Linked DNA regions of Macaca fascicularis. The protein of the gene in region 5 purifies or fractionates together with the protein of the main gene of each other region. This does not show direct contact. Links are inferred from orthologs where the notes say so. Each region holds a gene or a part of one and is shown on either strand. Other genes may lie near its edges. The genes, in order: COPE, COPG2, COPG1, COPZ1, COPB1 and COPA.

Region 1 (3,500 bases), on a different chromosome or scaffold from region 5:
GGCGGGCGCCTGTAGTCCCAGCTACTCGGGAGGCTGAGGCAGGAGAACGGCGTAAACCCGGGAGGCGGAGCTTGCAGTGAGCTGAGATCCGGCCACTGCACTCCAGCCTGGGTGACAGAGCAAGACTCCGTCTCAAAAAACAAACAAACAAACAAACAAACAAACAAATAAAACCCAAAATCCGTTTCACCAAAATGGAAAAAGCTTTGATGTCCTTTTTGATTATAAAAATAATAACCCAGGCCGGGCGCGGTGGCTCACGCCTGTAATCCCAGCACTTTGGGAGGCCGAGGTGGGCGGATCATGAGGTCAGGAGATTGAGACCATCCTGGTTAACACAGTGAAACCCCGTCTCTACTAAAAACACAAAAAATTAGCTGGGTGTGGTGGCGAGTGCCTGTAGTCCCAGCTACTCAGGAGGCTGAGGCAGGAGAATGGTATCAACCCAGGAGGCAGAGCTTGCAGTGAGCTGAGATTGTGCCACTGCACTCCAGCCGGGGGACAGAGCAAGACTCCATCTCAAAAAAAAAAAAAAAAAAAAAAAAAGAAATTAAAAAAAAGAAAAAAATCCGCTGGGCATGGTGGCTCACACCTGTAATTCTAGTGCTTTGGGAGGCCAGGAGTTCAAGAACAACCTGGGCAACACAGCAAGAACAACCCCGTCTCTACAAAAAATAGTATTTTTTTTTAAATTTAAAATAACATAAACTCTTCATAAAGACTGCAGATGGTCAGGCATGGTGGCTCACGCCTATAATTCCAGCACTTTGGGAGGTTGAGGCAGGTGAATCACCTGAGGTCAGGAGTTTGAAACGAGCCTGACCAACATGGCAAAACCCCATCTCTACTAAAAATACAAAAATGAGCTGGGCATGGTGGCAAGCGCCTATAATTCCAGCTACTCGGGAGGCTGAGACAAAAGAATCGCTTGAACCCAGGAGGCAGAGGTTGCAGTGAGCTGAGATCACACGACTGCACTCCAGCCTGGGTGACAAAGCGAGACGCCATCTCAAAAAAAGACAAGAAAAGACTGCAGACATCAGACAGGAGACGACTGCAGCCAGCCTGGGCTCCTGGCCACAGCACGCTGTCCCCTAAATAAGGACTGGGAGTGTCTCTCCAATACTGAATATGTACTCAGGTGAGGGGTCCCACATGCAGGGCCAGGCAGCTGAGGTGACAGACCACTGAGGCCCAGGCTGCCCAGATGCCCCATTTCTGTGAGGCCGGAATCTGGATTTCTTTGCAGGTGCGATCCCTGCTTTGTGGATCTCGCTGCTGACTGGGCCTCAGAAGCCCTGTGGGGCCACACGCACACGCAGGGCATCTCTGCTACACTTGTTTCTGTTTGCCCTGACCCCGCCCTCCGGCCGCCTGGCCTTCCCTCCGTTCCCACTTTGGGACAGCCTTGTGCCTACCTTGTCTAGCGCCTCCTGTAGCAGGCCCTCAGCGGCCTCCCAGCGGCCCTGGGCCATATGGCAGGCCGCCTGCCCATTGAGCAGCAGCAGGGTGGGCGAGCACTTGTCAGCCATCTCCTGGAAGATGTAGTAGGCATCCTGCAGCTTCTCACCGCCCTGCAGGGAGGGTCCCACATCATCATCTGTGCTGCGGCCGCCAGGCCCTTCCACCGTCAGCCCCCTCCCCAAGAGGGGGCTCTGCACTGCACAGACACAAATCTGGTATGCCCGGTTCAAGGCACAGCCACTCCACCATGGGGACCACTCATAACCTGTACTCTGCTGACGGGGCCTAAAGACTCGCGGCCGCCTCCTGCCTCACCTCCTACCCGGCTCCCAGTGCGCTGGGTACACAGAGGTGGAATTTAGGGCTTCCAGGGCACAGGGGCACAGGTGGCTGGGCCAGGGTCTGAGTGGGGACCACTGGGTCACCGGGCACATCGGAGGAGGATGAGTCAGCTCTGTGACCAGCAACTCTGACCTGCCCGCTTGCTCAGGACTGTGGGATACTTGCAGGGGGAGCCTGAGGTCAAGGCAGGCTGTGAAAACAGTTCAAACTACCCGAGAGGGCTGCCGAGGCCTGTCCCACCACACTGGACGGCCACTGGAAGTCCATCTGGGTGAGGCTCCAGCCCCGTGGTGGGCAGGGACGGGGAGCACATTTCTTCCCCCCAGAGTTTTGCTCTTGTCACCCAGGCCAGAGTGCAATGGCACAATCTCGGCTCACCGCAACCTCCACCTCCCAGGTTCAAGCGATTCTCCTGCCTCAGCCTCCCAAGTAGCTGGGTTTACAGGTGGGTGCCACCATGCCCGGCTAATTTTGTATTTTTAGTAGAGATGGGGTTTCTCCATGTTGGTCAGGCTGGTCTCGAACCCCTGACCTCACATGATCCACCCACCTCAGCCTCCCAAAGTGCTGGTATTACAGGCGTGAGCCACTGTGCCCAGCCAGGAAGTGTATTTTAACAGGCCTGCACAAAAGAATGGCTCAGAAGGGGGCCAAGTCCCAGAAACCAGGAGGGGGGTGTTGCCAGGCAGAGGTGCCCAGGCCTGGGAGCTGAGGACATCTCCACCGCTGCTATGGGAACACTGAACCCTGTCCCTGGCTGGGGACCAGGACCCTGGAGAGCAAAGCTGAGTCGCAGAAAACCCCAGGAAGCCCTGGGGGGAGGAGGGGCTGCCAGGCCAACCCAGACCCTCGAGTCCCCCTGCGCCTCAGGCTCAGGAACCCCGTCCCCGTCCCCACCATCGCTCTGCCTCTGGCCAAGCCGCTTGGCTGTGAGAAGCCCGGAATGGAGTGAAGGCTGAGAGTTGTGCCAGGCTGGCAGGGGGCCATGGCCTGATCCTGGAGCCCCACTGGAGTGGCCGGCAGCCTGGGCACAGGTGGGGGTGCCCACAGACCCTACTCAGCCAGGTGCCCACAATGCCCGCCTGCCTCGTGGCCCAGGACTCACCGTGGCCAGGCTGACCCAGGCGGTGGCGAGCTGGGTGAGGGTGGCATCCTCGTCCAGGTCCTGCATTCTCTTCAGTTCCTTCCTGGGGTGGGGACAGAGGACGGAGGGGCTGAGCGGCCGAGAGCCCTGGCCTGGCTATCCCTGCCTTGTTCCCACTTGGGGCCCGCCAGAGCCCGGGGATGGCCCCCACTACGTGCTCCCCTGCGTGCTCATACCCCACGACGAAGTGCCCGAGCTGCCCTGCCCGCCCCACCACGTGAAGGCCCCGGGAAGGCGGGACTGGAGCCAGCTACGGACCCCCGAGGTGGCTGGCACAAGGTAGGGCTCGGGAGAGACTCGCTCCACGGAAGATGGAACGCAGGGAAGGGCGACGGAGCTACAGCATGAACAACTCTGAGGCAAGGGCTTTGGAAACGGCAGCAGGGGAGTCCTGGACCACCAGCCATGGCCTCCGACCTGGTGACGCCACGTGCAGGCCCCGCCAGCCCCATGGCACAGTTACAAGCTGGCCCAGCGACATGTTCCTCCGGGCACGACCTCCACTCCCTCCATAAAGCCCACTCTCACCCTGTGGGACAGGCCCACCACT
Region 2 (2,308 bases), on a different chromosome or scaffold from region 5:
ACATGACTACTCTGTACCTCAGGGCTACAGATGTTGATCTGAATTTGGCTCTTGCCAGATGTTCTGTTTTCTTGCTTTCCTTTGCTAAGGGCTCCAGCATTAGATTTATCCAGACTACAGAACTTAAACTATTTTGGTGGTAGAGTTTTCTCTAGGCTCCAGAGAACTATATTAATTCCTTTATCTTTGCCCTATAACAGAAAGGACTTTTCTTTACTGACTGCTTGTTACCCACTAGCTGGAAGATCTCGAAGTGACTGTGTCTGACCACATTCAGAAAGTACTGAAGCCTAACTTTGCTGCTGCTTGGGAAGAGGTGGGAGATACCTTTGAGAAAGAGGAAACCTTTGCCCTCAGTTCTACCAAAACCCTTGAAGGTGAGACCCATTTTGCTATCAGTATATTGCCTGATAGCAATAAACACCTAATAGGTATATTTGTTACTCCAGAAGAACTCCTTGTAAAAAAAAAAAAACTTCATAAATCTCTTACTTAAAAGGCCAGCACCCTGTCTTCATCATCTAACTGATCAGCCATTTTCTAGTCCAAGTAGCCTCCCTCTACACATCACCAACAGCCCCTTCCACCCCAGCTCCCAGCATAGACTGGTGCAGAGGGAGATCCCTGTGCTTTACTTTCCTAATACTGTCTCATACATCTTCTCAACACAGAGGCTGTCAACAATATCATCACATTTCTGGGCATGCAGCCATGTGAGAGGTCCGATAAAGTACCTGAGAACAAGAATTCCCATTCGCTCTATCTGGCAGGTAAGAAGCTTCCATCAGATTTTCCTTCCATTTTCTTGCAAAGCTTAACAGGATATAGATGGGCATCTTACGCCTTGCTCTTGTCCCATCATCCCATTATATGAGCCACAACGTGAAACCCAGTCAAAATGAATAATTTGTTTTGCATGCTATTCTTAGTTATTCTTTTAAGATGTACATTTGACCTAAAACACTTAAATCTCTCCAACAGATACCAAGGCCACCACCAACATTCCTTTTGAGTACTCCAAATTGGTATTTTTGAATACCTTCTATGTATCTGGTTTCATGGGAATATAAAAAATATATATTTGGAATATATATTTGGAATTTATGCGTAGGATTCAATTTCCACAAATCTCTGGAAAACTAAACTAATAGAAAGGAGATGCAGTGAGAGCATGATAAATTTCATTATCCAGTGCTTGTTTTGGGTTCTTAATATGTTTTTCCTCACTTTTTTCTCTCAGGCATATTCAGAGGTGGCTGTGATTTATTGGTGAGGTCCAGGCTGGCCTTAGCCGATGGAGTGACCATGCAGGTGACTGTCAGAAGCAAAGAGAGAACACCTGTAGATGTTATCTTAGCTTCTGTTGGATAAAGGCTTACTGGACAAGAGGAAACTGATGTACACTTCACGGTCAGCGGGCTTTTAGGCTAGTGGCATCAGTTTCCCAGAATCACACTTTTGAAGATGACTGACTTTGGAGAAGCAAATTAAACATTTGGCCCTGAGCCAGCAGATCAAGCAGGTGTCTATCTTTGTGCATGGGTTGTTTTTTTTTTCTTTTTATTATACTTGGTCAGCTTTGGTATGATAGTGCAGCTTCAGGTGATCTTGAAAATCAAATACTATCCTATACTCCAGCTGCTTAACTTCATTTTATTCTTTAATTTAATGTGTACCTGAAAGCTCCTGGCAATGCTGGAAAATTTTTATCCCAGAGGGGTGGGGGTGAGGGGGAGGGGAAGCCAGAGTCCACTTTTGTCACAATTCATTTTTATTAATAGAAAATAAACACTTATTCCAGTTTCAAAGTTGTTATACTTGAAGTTGCTAATTTTAAAAAATGAATTTTAAATAATCACTTAATCCTGCTTTGACTAAGACAATGAAATGTGGCTTAAAAAAAAAAGTGTTCAGCACCATTTGCTCATAGGTCTTTCAGAGTTTGTTCTTAAAGTTTCTGGAACTTTCCTGTCTGTAAAGTATAGGAATGACTGAGCTACATTGGAAAGCCTCTCTGGGACAGGCAGTGGGGAGTTAAGCAGTCATCATAAAGGAATCAGTGTACATTCAGCATGGTGACTTGGACTACACAACAATCCCTTCCCCTCTACAGTAGCTCAAGAGAAACATGCTTCTAAGTACTGAGGTATGAGGAGTCTCAGACTGTTATTTGCTGTTCGAATTGGTCTTCCCAGCTAATAACAGTAAATATCTGGCACAGATGCTATTGGTCCTTAATGTCCTGTGATTTTAGGTAGTAGTTTGGATTTAGTTCAATTTATTCAGAAATCAAACATGTTTAATTAGC
Region 3 (4,087 bases), on a different chromosome or scaffold from region 5:
TTAAAACAGTCCTTACGGGTGTACTTTGTTCTCAAAGTTGGTAAAATAACCTGGCTTGAGTTTAAAAGCCTGCTCCCCTTGGGACCTAAACCGGAGATTTCTTTATCTGCAACCAACAGAGAATACTCTAGAGGGCTGTTCTTCGCCTATGCTGATTCGCTGAACAGGTAGCAGAAACCCCAGGGCACACTCCACATAGGACCTGATGCTGGAACGGCCACAGGACCCAAGCCCTTTGGAGCCTCCGTTTATCGACTACCAGAGGAGGATGCGTTGCGAAGAAGCACGAGTGGGAGGGAGTGGGAACTCAGTGCCTGTTAGCTGATTCACTCAACTAACCTGTACCGCTCCCACCCCTGGGCTTGGTGCTGGGACAGCGATGACGGGGAGAGGGTCCTGCCTCACAGGATTAAAACAGCCAAAGGGCTGTGGGTACAAGGGGGACAGGGCACGTGTTCTGCCTCTTGGGGGAGGCCTTGAAGGGGAAGGTGTAGCAATCATTCAATAAATACATGCTGATTTATTAGAGGGATAAGATGGTTTCTTGGGGGATAAATTCAAGAGGAGTCGAGAATGTTTTATTCATTTACAATGTCCCTTTCCTGGAAGGAAGGATAGCAAGATTTAGGACAAGCTAAAATCATTCCCTATTAAAAAAAAAAAAAAAAAAAAAAGGCACCCCCAAGTAGTCCCGGGTGGGGGGTAAGGGCAGAATAAAAAAAAAAATCTGCAATGATTCCTAATTGTTTTTGAATACAGAAGCTTGGGAAGGGGTTTCCGCCAGTTTCATGAGGAAGGCACAACTTCCAGGTAGTGTTGGGGGGGAAGGGCATAAGGTCCTATGCAGGCTGGCTGCTTATCCCACAGATGCCAAGATGATGTCTACTGGCAGCTCCTCCAAACTTCTGGCTGTCACCTGCATTGTCACTGTGTCCAAAAGCAGCAGCCGGGAACGCACCAGGATGTCATGACCACCCCGGAACACACCTAGAAGGGAAGACAGAAGTACAGGTATATACAGCAGAAGGGATTGTACAGGGCAGGCTAAGGATGGCATTTGCAGCAGCCCATCAAGACAGCTGTGGTATAGTGAAATGGGCAGGAGAGCTGGGCTGAAATCCCTGAGTGAGGGATTTCACTGTGAAAGTCACTGACTCTCGGCTGGGCACGGTGGCTCACACTTGTAATTCCAGCACTTTGGGGGGCCGAGGTGGGTGGATCATGAGGTCAGGAGTTTGAGACCAGCCTGGCCAACACAGTGAAACCCCATCTCTACTAAAAATACAAAAATTAGCTGGGCATGGTGGTGGGCGCCTGAAATCCCAGCTACTCGGGAGGCTGAGGCAGGAGAATCACTTGAACCCGGGAGGCGGAGGTTGCAGTGAGCAGAGATTGTGCCACTGCACTCCAACCTGGGTGACACAGCTAGACTCCGTCTCAAAAAAAAAAAAAAAAGTCACTGTCTCTCTGGGCTTCAGTATCCTCAACTACAAAATGGCGGGGATGATAATACCATATTCAGGCTTCTGCTAAGTTCAAATGAATTGATGGACATAAAAGGCTCGTATCTGACGTCACATAGGCTCTTGCATGTTGGCTGAATCTGACAGCACAAATGAAGGGGACAGCCCCACCACGAGAAAACCACAGGGCAGGTGTCTGCAAGACCCAGGGGACTGGGTTGTTTCAATGTGGCTACAAACTGTCAGCTGTAGACAGGGTACTGAAGCAGAGCCTCCTTTCAACCCTGTTTATAAACACTTAGCCAAAAAAAAATCATCCCATTTCCTTTTGTTAACTGTTTTAGGTATGATAATTGTATTGTCCTTTAAAAAAGGGCAGGGGTCATTATCTCTTAGAGAAACATAAAGATACAGAAGAATTTACATATAAAATGCTATTTCTGGAGTTTGCTAGTAAGTAATCTGGGAAGGAGAATGAGTGCAGGTACACTCAGCCAACCCTGTAGAAAATAAGACAAAGGATATGAAGACAGTGATCAGAAAAGGAAATACAAATGCCTCAACATTTGAGAAGATACTTAACTTCAATGAAAATACAAAAACTACACTAAGATATCATTGTCCACACAGACTGGCAAAGATCATAAAGTGTGGTAACATATTGTGTTGTCCACAGTGTAGGAAAAAAGGTATACAATTCTATGAAAGGCAACTTGGAGTTATTTATCAAGATGAGAAACACAAATCACTTTGACCTGGTGATGCCTTGGAAAATTTATCCTACAGATATTCTCAGTGTACACATGCAAAGTAAATTGTGTGTGTGTGTACACGATTATTTACTGTAACATCTGTAATAGCAACAGATTGAAATCAAACTAAATGTTCATCAGTAGCGGCTGTTCCACAGAATATGTGGTGCATCCACACAATGGAATACTAAGCAGCTATAAAAAAAAAAAAAAAAAAAAAAAAAAGGATTCAGTTTGGGATGAAAAAAGTTCTGGAGATGGATAGTGGTCATAGTTTTACAATAGTGTGAATGTACTTAATGCCGCTGAACCACACACTTGAAAATGGCTGAAATGGTGAATTTTATGTATATTTTACCACAATTAAAAGAAAAAGAATGAGGAAGCTCTACATATTGGCAGGAAAGATCTCTTAAGATGCATCGTAAAGTGAAAAGCAAATTGCAGGACAATATACCATTTGTACATAAACATTTGAGTTAAAAAAAGGAAATGTGTTCCTTTATAGCAATAAAATAACTGCAAGGTTATACAGGCATTGTTTGTAATAGTAACACTGGTCGTTTCTTGGAAGGGAATCTCAATGGCTGGCAGCCAAGGTAAGGTGGAAACATTTCGCTGCAGATTATTTTATAGTTTGCGAATTTTAAATGCTGTGAATTTTGACTCCCCGTATTTACAGTTAAGTCCTTAGCCCAGGATCCAGTGGACATCCAGGCTGTAAGCTATCCAGGCCCTCCCCACCTGGAAATGCCACTTACCAGCCAGAAGCAACGTGTGGGTATTCTTGTTATCCGGCACTTTGTCTGACCTCTCACAAGGGTGCATTCCCAAGAACTTCACAATATTACCCACAGCCTCTATAGTGAGAAATCCCAATATTGTTAAGCCATCTTGTCTGCCCTTTGTGCCACCACCACTCCCCCATGTTCTGAAGGGCTTTTAATGAAATGGCATTTGACATATGTGCCCCAGACATGGCCCTGGATCCTTGGAGAGAAAAGGTATAAGCACTTCAACAGTACCCAAAGATCTTGAACGGCAAGTAGGCCAGAGGTGGCATTCCCAGGATTTTACCTTCAAGTGTCTTGATGGTAGACAAGGTGAATGTTTCCTCCTTCTCAAATTCATCCCCTACCTCATCCCAGGCTGCTTCGAAGTTCAGTTTCATGACCTTTTGAATGTGATCAGCTACAGTAACTTCCAAATCTTCCAGCTGGAGAGATGGAGATAGAAATCAAGCACCCATCCACACACTCTGCTCTGAACTCATCCACACATCCCTTCCTGCCAACTCTTTCTGCAGGTGCTTGCTCGGCACTGAGGACTGTGCTAGACTCTGGGGACACAGAACAACTTGACCAGGTACCTATCCTTGAGGTGCCCACAGGCAAGTGGTATCCCTTCAACAGAAAATGCCCTAATCCCAAGTACCAATCTACTAACTCATCCTAGAGCTGCCTGCTGTGAGATCACATCTCTTTTAAGCCTGCCTAGTGTCAGTGCTTCCAGGATCTGGCATACAGGGAATTACATAGCATTCTCAGAGGTCTGCTTCCTATGCCTGTCATTTCTAGGGGATGATGAGCTCTTCAGGAGCAGCAGCTGTTTCTAGTTCAGCAGAAACCTCCTACCCCAGCTGTGTCCTCTGGATTTGACAGATCCTGAATCTCTGTCTCCATTTCAGCTGTGTCTTCTCTGAACTTGACACATAATACTCCCACTGAGTCCACATGAAGGTTCCCCATTCGTTCTCCCATCAGATTTTCACTGAGGCCCTACTCCTGTGGATGTTTACAGTGTATATAAATACAACTTCGACCCAGCTCTTTTTTTTTTTTTTTTCTATCATCTCTGGGTGGGCTCAAACAG
Region 4 (4,270 bases), on a different chromosome or scaffold from region 5:
CCAGGGGTGGTGGGCGCCTGTAATCCCAGCTACACCGGAGGCTGAGGCGGCAGGGAGAATCGCTTGAAACTGGGAGGCAGAGGTTACAGTGAGCCAAGATCACACCACTGCACTCCAGCCTGGGAGACAGAGAGAGACTCCATCTCAAAAAAAAAAAAAAAAAAAGAAAAAGAAAGAAAAAGAAAAATTCCTGGATAAGTCTGGAATCTCTTCTTGGAGAGCTCCTAAGGACATAATTTTCAGAGATGAGGGAAAAAAATCCCTGAGGGATAATTAAGGCAATAGGTATCCCTGCCCTAAGAGGAGTCAGGGATCAGGAAACCAAGAGATAGGGGAAAGCCAAGCTTCATCAAAACCATTCCCTATTGTGAAATCGTTGCATTCAGTAAACTTCTCTTTTCTCATTTTGCAACGGCTCGTTTCTTTCCTTTTCTTTTTCTTTCTTTTTTTTTTTTTTTTTTTTGAGATGGAGTTTTGCTCTTGTTGCCCAGGCTGGAGTGCAATGACGTGATCTTGGCTCACCGCAACCTCGGCCTCCTGGGTTCAAGAGAGTTTCCTGGCTCAGCCTCCCGAGTAGCTGGGATTATAGGCATGCTCTACCACGCCCGGCTAATTTTGTATTTTTTTTTTTTTAGTAGATACGGGGTTTCTCCATGTTGGTCAGGTTGGTCTCGAACTCCCGACCTCCGATGATTTGCTCACCTCGGCCTCCCAAAGTGCTGAGATTACAGGCTTGAGCCACCGCGCCCAGCCACAACGGCTTGTTTCTATTGGAAAACCCCAGACCTTACTCCCTATAACCCTCCCTTATTCTAATCCCTTTCCCCGTTTGTCCCCCCAACTCCATCTCCAAAGACGATTGAGCCAAAGTTAGCTTTTACAAACTCTGACTTCTCATGTTCCTCAGGCCCAGCAAAGCCTGGAACTCCACCTTAGGGAGATTGTTACTGCGACTATCATCTTCTGGCAGTCTTGGTTTATGTAGTTAACATGTTGGGCCTTTCTTGGCTCTACTCTATGGTTGTGCAGACTTTCTGTGAGGATGCTAAAGTGACCCGAGCGAGCCTGAGGGAAGGGCTAGCCACAGAGATCATGGACCTAGGGGGCGCTGAAAATAGGGATTATTAGGGGAGGATCCCTGTTAGGAAGCGTCAGCGTTAAAGGCTAAGGAGACACAGCGCCCCCTAAAGAGAGTGCGGTTTAAAATCGCTAAATCAGGCCGACAATATCACGTGTCCCTGGCCCTACCAATTGAAAATTAACAATCGCTTCCTCCGTTCCCCATGGAAACAACCCCGCCCCACCGACCCTCCCGCCCTAATAAGTCGTGAGGTTTTGGCGTTTTATTGAGTATTCAAACTGACAATCAAACACCTGTGCCTTCTGGTTGGATACTCTGCTTCCGGTAAGCAAGTTAGTACAATAATTGGTCAACAGAGCAAGTCTTACCCAATGATCCTTATCCTAGGCAGGGCCTAATGGGGACGTATGGCCAATCAGCGGTGGCGTTACTTTTGCGGCTCCACGTCGGCACCAGCTGCGGGGCAAGATGGAAGCGCTGATTTTGGTAGGAGCTGGAGGGGCAGCAGAGATGCTGTGCTGTCCACAGGGGCCGGGAGTCAGGGTGCAGCCCGAGTGGGAGACGGGGAAGGAGAGTTCCGGGTAATTCTTGGGGACTGACGGTTCTGCCGACCCTTGGAATAAGTGTGTGGCCTAGTGTAGGAGCTAAAGCCTTGGTTTAGAGTAGGAAGCCCTGCCGGGGAGAGGGCATAGAGTCGATGGAAAGTTAAAGGTAGCACATGGACTCCTTAGGATACACAGACCTGTAAGCGTACTGGATTAGGACTCTTCAGGTTTCCCCTTATTTTTAGCATTGTGGATGATATCCTGATTTTAATTTACCAAAACCACCAAACTAGCCCCATATTATGAGAAAAGAATACAGATGTTTTGTCGTTACAGGCTCCTCCTGGTGGTTTCCCAAGTTTGACTCTCCATTGCTGATTCCCTGCCACATTCTTTCAGGAAACTGTTTTCTCTTGGGTTTCCTATTAATCCCTATTAAATAGGTTTATCATGATAAAGAATCAGTGTTTCATCAAAGTTCTGGGATACCTGATAAAGTTAGCATGGATTGTGGAATATTTTTTCCAGACTCCTTATTCTGTTCTCCTTTTCTCTACCCATTGGACCTTAGGAATTCTTTTTTTTTTTTTTTTTGAGACCGAGCCTTGCTCTGTCGCCTACGCTGGAGTGCACACGTGGCACGATCTTGGCTCACTGCAATCTCCGCCTCCCGGGTTCGAGCTATTCTCCTGCCTCAGTCTCTTGAATAGTTGGGACTATAGGCGCGTGCCACCATGCCCGGCTAATTTTTTTTTGTATTTTTAGTAGAGACGTGGTTTTACCATGTTGGCCAGGCTGGTTTCGAACTCCTGACCTCAAGTGATCCGCCGGCCTCGGCCTTCCAAAGTGCTGGGATTACAGGCGTGAGCCATCGCGCCTGGCCAGGAATTATTTTATTTTATTTATTTATTTATTTATGAGACGGAGCCTCGCTCTGTCGCCTAGCCTGGAGTGCAGTGGCGCGATCTCGGCTCATTGCAATCGCCGCCTCCCTGGTTCACGCCATTCTCCTGCCTCAGCTTCCCGAGTAGCTGGGACTACAGGCGCCTGCCACCATGCCTGGCTAATTTTTTGTATTTTTCTTTTTTTTTTTTTTTGAGACGGAGTCTCGCTCTGTCGCCCAGGCTGGAGCGCAGTGGCCGGATCTCAGCTCACTGCAAGCTCCGCCTCCCGGGTTTACGCCATTCTCCTGCCTCAGCCTCCCGAGTAGCTGGGACTACAGGCTCCCACCACCTCGCCCGGCTAGTTTTTTGTATTTTTTTTTAGTAGAGATGGGGTTTCACCGTGTTAGCCAGGATGGTCTCGATCTCTTGACCCCGTGATCCGCCCGTCTCGGCCTCCCAAAGTGCTGGGATTACAGGCGTGAGCCACCGCGCCTGGCCAGGGATTCTCATTGTATGATCTAGGATGCTAATTTCTCCCTTTCTGGTTACATGAGAATTGTGGTCGCTACAAGGAGTGTATTAGCCCTCTTGTCCATATGATGCTTTATGCTTGTTCTAACAAATAAAATACCTGTTACCCCTTATTTAGAACTGAACCAGATAATTTCTCTCAAAAGTGCCCTATTTTGCGATTTGGAGGGGTGTGTGTGTGTGTATGTGTGTGTGTGTGTAGGTAGGTAGGTAGGTAGTTAATGTAGGAATTTAACTCCCAGCCTCCTTCGTTAATTGGCTCGAACTCCAGGCCTCTTTCCAAAGAAGCTTGTCTTTTATTTTCCTTTAGATCTCCTATGCATACATATTCAGATCCTCGTCAGATAAAAGAATAACAGTTTTTAATTCCTCTCTTTCAGCATGTTAAAGACAGATAATTCCGACCATCCTGGCTAACACGGTGAAACCCCGTCTCTACTAAAAAATACAAAAAACTAGCCGGGCGAGGTGGCGGGCGCCTGTGGTCCCAGCTACTCCGGAAGCTGAGGCAGGAGAATGGCGTAAACCCGGGAGGCGGAGCTTGCAGTGAGCTGAGATCCGGCCACTGCACTCCAGCCTGGGCCACAGAGCCAGACTCAGTCTCAAAAAAAAAAAAAAAAAAGAGACAGATAATTCCTTATGTCAGTTGGTCAAATATAGGTAAAAAGCTTAAAATCTGAGTAGTTTTAAATATTTTCTGTACCAGGCAGTTAACAAATATTCTTTTTTTTTTTTTGAGATAGAGTCTGGCTGTGTTACTCAGGCTGGAGTGCAGTGGTACTATCTTGGCTCACTGCAACCTCCGTCTCCCAGAATCAAGCAATTCTCGTGCTTCAGCCTCCCGCGTAGCTGGAATTACAGGCACGTGCCACCATGCCCAGCTAATTTTTGTATTTTCAGTAGAGACGGTTTCACCATGTTTGCCAGGCTGGTCTGGTCTTGAACTCCTGACCTCAAGTGATCTGCTGCCTTGGCCTCCCAAAGTGCTGGGATTACAGGTGTGAGCCACTGCACCTGCCCAGTTAGCAAGTATTTTTTTTTTTGTTTTTGTTTTTGTTTTGGAGACAGAGTCTCACTGTGTCATCCAGCCTGGAGTACAGTGCTGTGATCTCAGCTCACTGCAACCTCTGCCTCCCGGGTTGAAGCAATTTCTCCTGCCTGAGCCTCCCGAGTAGCTGGGACTACAGGCACACACTGCCACGCCTGGCTAATTTTTTTGTATTTTAGTA
Region 5 (4,267 bases):
AAAATCAAAATAGATTAAAGGCTTAAATCTAAGACTTTAAACTATGAAACTACTACGAGAAAACATTGGGAAAAACCTCCAGGTAACTGGTCTGGCCAAAAATGTCTTCAGTAATACCCCACAGGCACAGGCAACCAAAGCAAAAACGGACAAACGGGATCATATCAAGTTAAAAAGCTTCCGCACAGCAAAGGAAACAATTGACATACGTGATGAGACAACCCACAGAATGGGAGAAAATATGTGCAGACTACCCATCTAACAAGGGATTAATAACCAGAAAATGTAAGGAGCTCAAAAAACTCTATAGGAAAAAAAAAATCTCATAATCTGATCTAAAAATGGGCAAAAGATTTGAACAGACATTTGAGAAATACATACAAATGGCAAAGAGGCATATGAAAAGGTGCTCAACGTCACTGATCAGAAGAGAAATGCACATCAAAACTACAATGAGATATCATCTCACCCCAGTTAAAATGGCTTTTATCCAAAAGACAAGCAATAACAAATGCTGGTGAAGATGTGGAGAAAAGGGAACCCTTGTACACTGTTGGTAGGAATGTAAACTAGTACAACCACTACAGAGAAGTTTGGAGGGTCCTCAAAAAACTAAAAATAGAGCTACCATACGATTCAGCAATCTGACTGCTGGGTATATATCCAAAAGAAAGGAAATGAGTACATCAAAGAGATAACTGCACTCCTATGTTTGTTGCAGCACTGTTTACAACAGTCAAAACTTGAAAGCAACCTGTGTCCACCAACGGATAAATCGATAAAGAAAATGTGGTACATATACACAATGGAGTACTATTCAACCATAAAAAAGAATGAGATCCCGCCATTTGCAACAACATGGATGGTACTGGAGGTCATTATGTTACGTGAAATAAGTCAGGCACAGAAAGACAAACTTCACATGTTCTCACTTATTTGTGGAAGCTAAAAATCAAACAAATTCATGGAGATAGAGTAAAAGGATGGTTATCAGAGGTGGGAAGGGTAGTGGGAGGAAAGCGGAGATGGCTAAAAAAGAAAAAATGAGTTAGACCCAATATTTGATAGCACCCGGGGTAACTATACTCAATAATAATTTAATTGTACATTTAAAAATAACTAAAAGTGTAACTGGTTTGTCACACAAAAGATAAATGCTTGAAGGGATGGATACTCCATTTTTCCATGATGTGATGATTATGCATTGCATGCCTGTATCAAAGCATTTCATGTACCCCATAAATATATACATCTACTGTATACCCACAAAAATTAAACATTAAAAAAAATAAAATTCACAAATATAGTTGTTTTCTTGTTTGCAAAAATGCTTAAAAAATGAAAAGTTAAACTTTTCGGGAAAATACATGTTTATTCCAGTGTTGATCTAATTGTCTGGGTGGGTAACCCAAAGAACAAAGTTCTTTTGGTTTTACAAGCTAAGTAACATGAAGTTAAGTGCACGATAGAATTAAGATATTCCAATACACATCCTCAATCTGTTGCCTAGAGAATATCATCAGCTACATTAAGTATAATATATTGAACTCCACAAAAATTATGACATTTTGAGGAATATCTAAACTATTAAAATCTCTTTAGGTTTACTGAGATGTTCTATTTCAAACAACCAATATTTAGTCTAAAGGAGTTCGCATTTAATTTAATAAAAGGTCTATTGAAGAGATCCTAGAAAAACTTTAGACAAAAATTAAGCATTTCTAATTATAAAGGAATATGAAATATGAGTTTATTTTCGTCTTTTCTTTTTTCATTTCTCAAAATAATATCAAAGTTTACCTAGATCATTTTTTAAGCTAATTTCAGATGGTGGTTCTGAATCCATTGGCACGTTAATTAACGTGTAGCACACGTTCTCAGCTGCCGTCATGGTTTCTGGTTATATTATAATTAATCCTTGATACAAGACTTAAGGATGCCAGAAAATCTAGAAAAATAAACACAGGTACATGATTACAAATCAAACAAAGAAACAAACAAAAAACCCACAAACCAGTATCTATAGTGACATTTTAAAGTATTAGAAAGGACAGGTCAATCTATATCGTGTTCCCATAAAAATAAATTCTAGTAAAAACCACACTGTCAGCTCCGGCATAAAGTATATTATCTATCACTCCCTCCATCGCACACGAGTCCAGTGTTTGAGAATGCTGTACAGCCGAAGGAAGGCCCACAGAACAGTGACAGTCCCCCAGCCAAACCCCACAATATTATGGAACATACAGTTTTTAACACAACACACAATCTGCATGCTCAAGTTAGGAGACCTTGTGCCTGAATACTCTGCCAAAACCCTAAAGCGCTTTATCGCGGTCCTTGGTGGGTTCCGACTATACGTCCGCGGGTCCCTTAATCAGCGCGCGCTGCACCCCCACCTCGCCCGACCCGCTTCCTCCTCCCCTTCCCCCAGCAAAGCAGGCCTGGGCCTGAAAGGGTAAGCCTCGGGGTCTTGGGAGGGAAAGACCCCTGACCAATACAGAGGTCGGGATGGAGCGTCCGACCCGGAGCTTCCTAGGCCCCCGCCCCTACCCCCACCCCGTCCCCTCTGCCAGGCCCAGACGCAAGCGGCCTAGTCGCTCCCTTTCCGCATCTTCCAGCTAGAGAGCCAGTTCTTCCGACTCTGCCCGACCCACCACTCCTCCGGGACTGGGGGCTTGTGGCCCACTACCAGGCTCCGAGGGGTAGTGGTTTGGGGCAGCCGTGGATCCGTCTACTCCGGCTCCAACCCGCAGCAGCGGCGGCGGCTCCAGAGTCCTTGGCTGACGTGGAAGGGGGTGGGGTAACAACCAAAGCCACAGCCACCTAGCACCTACGGCGACTCAGAGAGGACATGCCTTCTTTGTGCAGCGCTTGCGCGCTGCAAGTGTATCCTATTTTCTTACTCTTCTCTCGTCCGGGGTTGGTTTAGGCCGCAGAGCAATGAAACCACGTATTTTCTAGTTTTCCCTGAAAGCCAAGAGCTGAGTTAGGCACTATGCTCATTTAAACTCTAACTGGAAATCGTTCCTTCTTCCAGGAACAGTCAAGGGTAGGAAGTGTTTGGAGAGAGGGAAACTTTTGCAGGGCTGTATTCCCGTGAAAAACAGCTCTGGACTGGAAAGTGGAAACCCAGGAATGCTTTTTCTTGCTCACCCCCTAATAAACTGGGAAAGTAACTAATACTATTGGGAAACTAATTCAGTTATTTTATTAATGGTCACTAGATTAAAATCCATTTCAGTCCTTAATATCGCTTGTAGTTTGAATCTGCCTCTCTGCAGGTAGGGCTAGAGTTATTTGAAAATCCAAAGCCACATTGGTATAATTTCTTTTTATTTAATAATGCCCTCTTTCCGTGATCCTTCCTGAGCACCCAGTAGATTAGAAAAAATTTTTATGCATAAAGGGAGACAGTCACTGTTTTAAAGGATTTTACGTATCTCCAAAGACCTAATTGTTACAGCTGCAATCAGCCACAGTACTTTTGGTTTTGCCCATTTGAAGTTCCATAGCACGCCCCGCCCCTACCCCTCCCTCTTCCCCCCAAAAGGTTTTATGGTCAATTATTAATAACAAAATATTTTAAAGCTTAAGCAAAATATTGTGAATAAAAAGAGATCTGACGGCAACTGCCCTAATTAACAGGTTCATCTCAGAAGATGGAACACCAATAGTACCTCATTTATGTAGGATCTAGCTCTTTTGAGATTTCTCTTTTTAGAACCATCAAGCAAACTACAAATTCTTTGAGCACCCAAAATGTATTACAAAAGCCATGTGTTGACAGCACTTTAAGAGTGCCTCCTCTGATTCTGTGCACTCATTTTTAAAAAACAGTTGTAGAGTGACTTGAATACAGTTTCCATATACTCTTTACCCAGTTTCTCCCAATAGTAACATCTTGCATATAGTACAATATCAAGAAATTGACAGACATAATTCACCCAACCTTATTCAGACTTCACTAATTTTACATGTACTCATTTTATATTCACTTGTAGACAATTTTATCATTCTTATATGTGTGTGATCACCAACACAGTCGAGACACAGAACAGTTCCATCACAAGGATTCTCATGCTGTCATGTCGTCCTTTGATAGCCATAGCCACCTCCCACACTAACCTGTGGCAACCACTAATAGTTTTCTATGATTTTTATCATCTCAATGTTATATAAATGGAATTATACAATAATATTTTGAGACTGGATTTTTTTACTCAGTGTAATTCCCTTGAGATCAATCCAAGATGTGTGTACAACA
Region 6 (4,097 bases), on a different chromosome or scaffold from region 5:
GTCACCTTCTGTCAATTCTGATAAGAAAAAGAAACAGCAAGGTTAATCCTAGGCTCATTTATTCATTCGACGCACTTGATGATTTTTTACTGGATGCCAGACATCATGAATTTTATGTTTGGTACTAGATGTTTGTTATATTCCTTTAAATATTGTTGGGCTTTGCTCTAGGATGCAATTAAGTTACTTGGAATCAGTTGATCCTTTCAAGGCTTGCTTTTAGGTTCTATTACAGGGGGGCTACAGCAGCCTTCATTCTAGGCTTAATCTGGAACCATTATTAAAGCAATAGCCCATCTGAGGTCTCTATTTGAAGCTCTATAATATCAGGAAGTCTTTCCATTCTGGCCAGTAGGAACACAAACTAGTCCCAGCCCTGTGTGAGCTCTGGGGATTGCTCTGCCTTCTCCTTTCCAGTGGTTCTTTGTCAGGTTTTGAATAGTTTTCTCACATGCAGATCAGTACTCAAAGACCCGAGAGGACATCCTGCAGACCTCTAGTGCTCTCTCTCTGCAGCCCCCTCTTCTCCAGCATTTTGCCCTGCAAAATCTAGCATCTTTGCTTCCCCACACTCTAAACTTTTGTCTCCTCAGAAAGAACAAGGGATTCCCCTTTTCACTGAAGCCTGAAAACTCTCTAGGCAGTAATCTATGACAATCATAGGACTCACCTTGTTTATTTCCCTTCTCTCAAGAATCATTTCCCTGCACTGCGTGTCACCCAACGTCTGTGAGCAATGTATGAACCTTTGTTTCATACATTTTGTTTGTTATTCTATCAAGACTGGAAATGGAAGTCCCCAGAGGTAACAACTACTAACAGTTTGGAGTGTACCCTTTCAGATTTGTAATGCAGTTACACATAGACATAGGCCTTACTATTTTATGAAAGTGGGGATCACATTATGATGTTGTTCTGCAAACTTTTACATTATTCTAACAGGCATTTACCTTTGTCCCCCAATTTTTGGCTATCAGAAGAGCCTACTGAAGATACTTCTACACATAATCTAGCCTATTTGCATTATTACTGCTCTAGGCTAAAGACCTGTAAGTGAGATTGCTCAGGAATAGAATATGTGCACTTAACATTTTAGTACATATATTTAAATGTAAAAACACTTTATCAATATACAGTCTCATGAAGTTTATGGAGGTGCCCATTTTGCACACAGGATGTTATCAGCTATTTGTTGTTTTGTTTTATAAATCTAAGACCCTCCCCCCAAGAAAGTAACTTCACTTTTTTTTTTTTTTTTTTTTTTGCATTTCTTTCATTACTAGTGAGGTGGAACTGTTTTAATTATTTATTGAACATTTACAATTTTTCTTCTAAATTGTCTATTTTTCCATTAGGTTCTCTTTTTTTTTTTCCATTATGATATATAAGTACACTCAACAATGGATGTTCGCCCTCAATTATTACAACATCTTTGTTTTTCCTTCTCTACTGCCCAGCAAGAAATTAGGAGCAGAAAAGAAAACTGAAAGATTATGAAGACCCATTTCACCTACACAGGTCTCAGAAATTCTTAATGGTACCCACCTTTCAAGGTCAAGTTTCCCAAGAGACTTAGAAACTGCTCAGAATATATTCACACATTGAGAGCAGCCTCCACTTTTTGCACTACTGAGTCTACACCAGGTGCTGCAATAAATACATTCCATACTTTCTCATTTTAATTCTTTCTATAAAAGACTATTTTACAGATGAGGAAATAGCACTTAGAGACCTTAAGTCACCCAAGTCATACAGCTTGTTAGTGGATGTCTCAGGATTCCAAAGCAAGCCCATCTGACTTCAAAGACCAACCACTTTCAAAGACTAACCATTTTGTTACGCTGCATCTTACTACATACTCTAGATACTATTTTTTCCAGGTCTCTGGAGACCTTACTTCTCTCTGCCTTTCACATTTTAACATTCTGAGGCTAATACTGAGATCTCAGTATTTGCCCACCACCCCCAACGACCCACACTCGAGCTCTAGAGTCGCCATACTTAGCAAATAAAAATACGAGATGCCCAGATATATTTGAACTTCTGGTAAGCAAGGACAGACTAAAAAAACTATTCATTGTTTACCTGAAATTCAAATTTAACTGGGTGTCCTGCATTTTATCTGGCAACCCTATCAAGTTGAGACTTTATTGGGGTTATAAGCCTCAAAGTACTACTTCCGGGTAGTGAATAAAGCCGAATGAAGGTACTGATGTTGAGATGCTGCAGCCAAGGCCTCCTTAAGTGAGGTAGCCACTACACGTCTCCAAAAAAGCTACTGACTCGGGTGCAAGTAACAGAGATCGAGACTCAAGCCCCAGGGCCACTCCATATAACACAATCAAAAAGTCAACAGGTCACAGGGCCTTTGGAGCAGAACAATACAAGTTGGGAGCACAGCAAAGAGAGAAAGGGAGAAGAAAGAATAGGGAGGTGGTCTAAGGAATCACCTACAGTGTGGGAGCCACTTTATAGGTAAATCGAAGCCCAAGGACACACCAAAGAGGGGACTGGAGAACCGCTAGCCAGGCCTAACCTCTCTCCCACCCTCCGTCTTCCTCTGGGTCCGTCTAGTGGGCCCACTTCGGCCAGCACGTCTACCCATTTTCTCTTCCCCGGTGTCTGCGCCGCTCTTGACATCCAACCTCCATGTTCCCCTTTTTTTTCTCCACTACCTTTGACCCGCGCGCTCTTGGTCTCGAATTTGGTTAGCATCTCTCAGGTCTCCGACTCCGATGTTTTAATCCGAGCCCCGACACACCCTGCTGCCCTTCGGACGCCTCCACGTCAGCTACCCTCTGCCGCGGTTTCCGGAAGCTCCTGGAAACACGAACTTCCGGTCTGTTGGGCTCCGGGCCACAGAGATGGTGTCAGTGGTAGCCTAGAGAGGCCGCTACCCGGCAGGAGCCGAACGGGGACTTCCGCTCAGCAGAGAGGCAAGATGGCCACGGCAGGGGGTGGCTCTGGGGCTGACCCGGGAAGTCGGGGTCTCCTTCGTCTTCTGTCTTTCTGCGTCCTACTAGCAGGTGAGGCCTCCCCACCCGTGAGCTCCGTTCTCTAAAGGGAACTCTCCGGATCGGCCCAGCCGCGAGCGCCACTGTCTCCCTTCTGGTTCCTGCTGCCCCTCTGTCCCCCCACCCTGTAAATCCTCTTTCTCTTTCGTTCCCACGACAGAAGTTCCCCCTTTGCCTGGACCTAAAGGTCCCTTCTCCCCCGCAGCATGTCGTGTCGCTTCACTCCCTTCTCTAGGCCTCTTCCTGGACTTCGAACTCGACCCTCTCCCACTTTGTCCAGATGCCTCGTTTTTCCCACAACCCCAGCCACCCACCCCACAGTCGAAAGAAACAGGTGTGAAAGTTAGCTTTCTTCCCCGCGTTTAGACTTTTTGAGACGAAAGCAATCTTGTTCTGTGGGTGCTGTGCGGCGCTTAAAAGGTAGATTTCTTATTTCTTCCTCTATTGGTTACACCCAAAGTCTGTGTCCCTCTGCCTTGCCTCAGGTTTTGTTTTTGTTTTTGTTTTTTTAATCAGTAAAGCAAGAATAAGGTAGGATATGGGTACTCTTAACTGTCCAAACCGTGAAGTAACGATTCAAGGAACTTTTGGCATTTATAATATACTTGACTGTTTGCTTATACGCGTTTATTTACTGATACATGGCTTTTTAGTTGGTCACGCCCTAAAATGCAAATGTCTGTATATAACTATGACTGTGCCTTCCCCTAGTTCACATTGTTTTTAAAGATCCTCAAAGGAGAAACTACAGCTGCCCCACACTGTGGGCACACAAATGACCTACTGATGTTAAATTAACTGACCAGTGTATGTCATAAGGTTTCTCTCAATTCTATTCACACTCTTGGAAAAATGTCTCAGAAAGTTTTCTTAGCCCAGCACCTTTGTATTAACTGGTTAGTAATATACATACAGGATATACAAGCAGAAGTGTGATCACCTGTGCAACCAGAATTTGGCAAATCTAAGGTCAAACACCTTTCCTTTGACCAAGTTTTCTCTCTTTTAGTGTCACTGTCAATGGCGCTACATGGACTTTTTAATAACCCTTTGAGGCACATAGCTGAGTGCCATGTAGAGCAT

Evidence for each region.
Region 1: the proteins of COPB1 (region 5) and COPE purify together in Homo sapiens (affinity purification with mass spectrometry; 6 studies listed by BioGRID and IntAct, with this or other methods). This does not show direct contact. The link is inferred for Macaca fascicularis from reciprocal best matches to the Homo sapiens genes COPB1 and COPE.
Region 2: the proteins of COPB1 (region 5) and COPG2 purify together in Homo sapiens (affinity purification with western blotting; 4 studies listed by BioGRID and IntAct, with this or other methods). This does not show direct contact. The link is inferred for Macaca fascicularis from reciprocal best matches to the Homo sapiens genes COPB1 and COPG2.
Region 3: the proteins of COPB1 (region 5) and COPG1 fractionate together in Homo sapiens (co-fractionation; 11 studies listed by BioGRID and IntAct, counting the BioPlex papers as one, with this or other methods). This does not show direct contact. The link is inferred for Macaca fascicularis from reciprocal best matches to the Homo sapiens genes COPB1 and COPG1.
Region 4: the proteins of COPB1 (region 5) and COPZ1 fractionate together in Homo sapiens (co-fractionation; 8 studies listed by BioGRID and IntAct, with this or other methods). This does not show direct contact. The link is inferred for Macaca fascicularis from reciprocal best matches to the Homo sapiens genes COPB1 and COPZ1.
Region 6: the proteins of COPB1 (region 5) and COPA fractionate together in Homo sapiens (co-fractionation; 6 studies listed by BioGRID and IntAct, with this or other methods). This does not show direct contact. The link is inferred for Macaca fascicularis from reciprocal best matches to the Homo sapiens genes COPB1 and COPA.

What each region holds. Positions count from the first base shown.
Region 1 is NC_088393.1:19,305,493-19,308,992, forward strand, and holds part of COPE (coatomer subunit epsilon), read right to left. Parts: intron 2,994-3,500; coding exon 2,912-2,993; intron 1,575-2,911; coding exon 1,419-1,574; intron 1-1,418. UniProt on the Homo sapiens protein: The coatomer is a cytosolic protein complex that binds to dilysine motifs and reversibly associates with Golgi non-clathrin-coated vesicles, which further mediate biosynthetic protein transport from the ER, via the Golgi up to the trans Golgi network.
Region 2 is NC_088377.1:172,023,845-172,026,152, reverse strand, and holds the end of COPG2 (coatomer subunit gamma-2), read left to right. Parts: intron 1-238; coding exon 239-377; intron 378-671; coding exon 672-770; intron 771-1,240; coding exon 1,241-1,371; 3' UTR 1,372-1,808; downstream 1,809-2,308. UniProt on the Homo sapiens protein: The coatomer is a cytosolic protein complex that binds to dilysine motifs and reversibly associates with Golgi non-clathrin-coated vesicles, which further mediate biosynthetic protein transport from the ER, via the Golgi up to the trans Golgi network.
Region 3 is NC_088376.1:154,147,323-154,151,409, forward strand, and holds the end of COPG1 (coatomer subunit gamma-1), read right to left. Parts: intron 3,432-4,087; coding exon 3,293-3,431; intron 3,076-3,292; coding exon 2,977-3,075; intron 988-2,976; coding exon 857-987; 3' UTR 501-856; downstream 1-500. UniProt on the Homo sapiens protein: The coatomer is a cytosolic protein complex that binds to dilysine motifs and reversibly associates with Golgi non-clathrin-coated vesicles, which further mediate biosynthetic protein transport from the ER, via the Golgi up to the trans Golgi network.
Region 4 is NC_088385.1:61,173,065-61,177,334, forward strand, and holds the start of COPZ1 (coatomer subunit zeta-1), read left to right. Parts: upstream 1-1,470; 5' UTR 1,471-1,488; coding exon 1,489-1,662; intron 1,663-4,270. UniProt on the Homo sapiens protein: The coatomer is a cytosolic protein complex that binds to dilysine motifs and reversibly associates with Golgi non-clathrin-coated vesicles, which further mediate biosynthetic protein transport from the ER, via the Golgi up to the trans Golgi network.
Region 5 is NC_088388.1:51,257,321-51,261,587, reverse strand, and holds the start of COPB1 (coatomer subunit beta), read right to left. Parts: upstream 2,801-4,267; 5' UTR 2,693-2,800; exon of another isoform or gene 2,658-2,692; intron 1,949-2,657; 5' UTR 1,892-1,948; coding exon 1,801-1,891; intron 1-1,800. UniProt on the Homo sapiens protein: The coatomer is a cytosolic protein complex that binds to dilysine motifs and reversibly associates with Golgi non-clathrin-coated vesicles, which further mediate biosynthetic protein transport from the ER, via the Golgi up to the trans Golgi network.
Region 6 is NC_088375.1:100,716,086-100,720,182, reverse strand, and holds the start of COPA (coatomer subunit alpha), read right to left. Parts: upstream 2,801-4,097; 5' UTR 2,716-2,800; coding exon 2,676-2,715; intron 1-2,675. Other genes in the region: NCSTN (nicastrin), read left to right, coding at 2,942-3,026. UniProt on the Homo sapiens protein: The coatomer is a cytosolic protein complex that binds to dilysine motifs and reversibly associates with Golgi non-clathrin-coated vesicles, which further mediate biosynthetic protein transport from the ER, via the Golgi up to the trans Golgi network.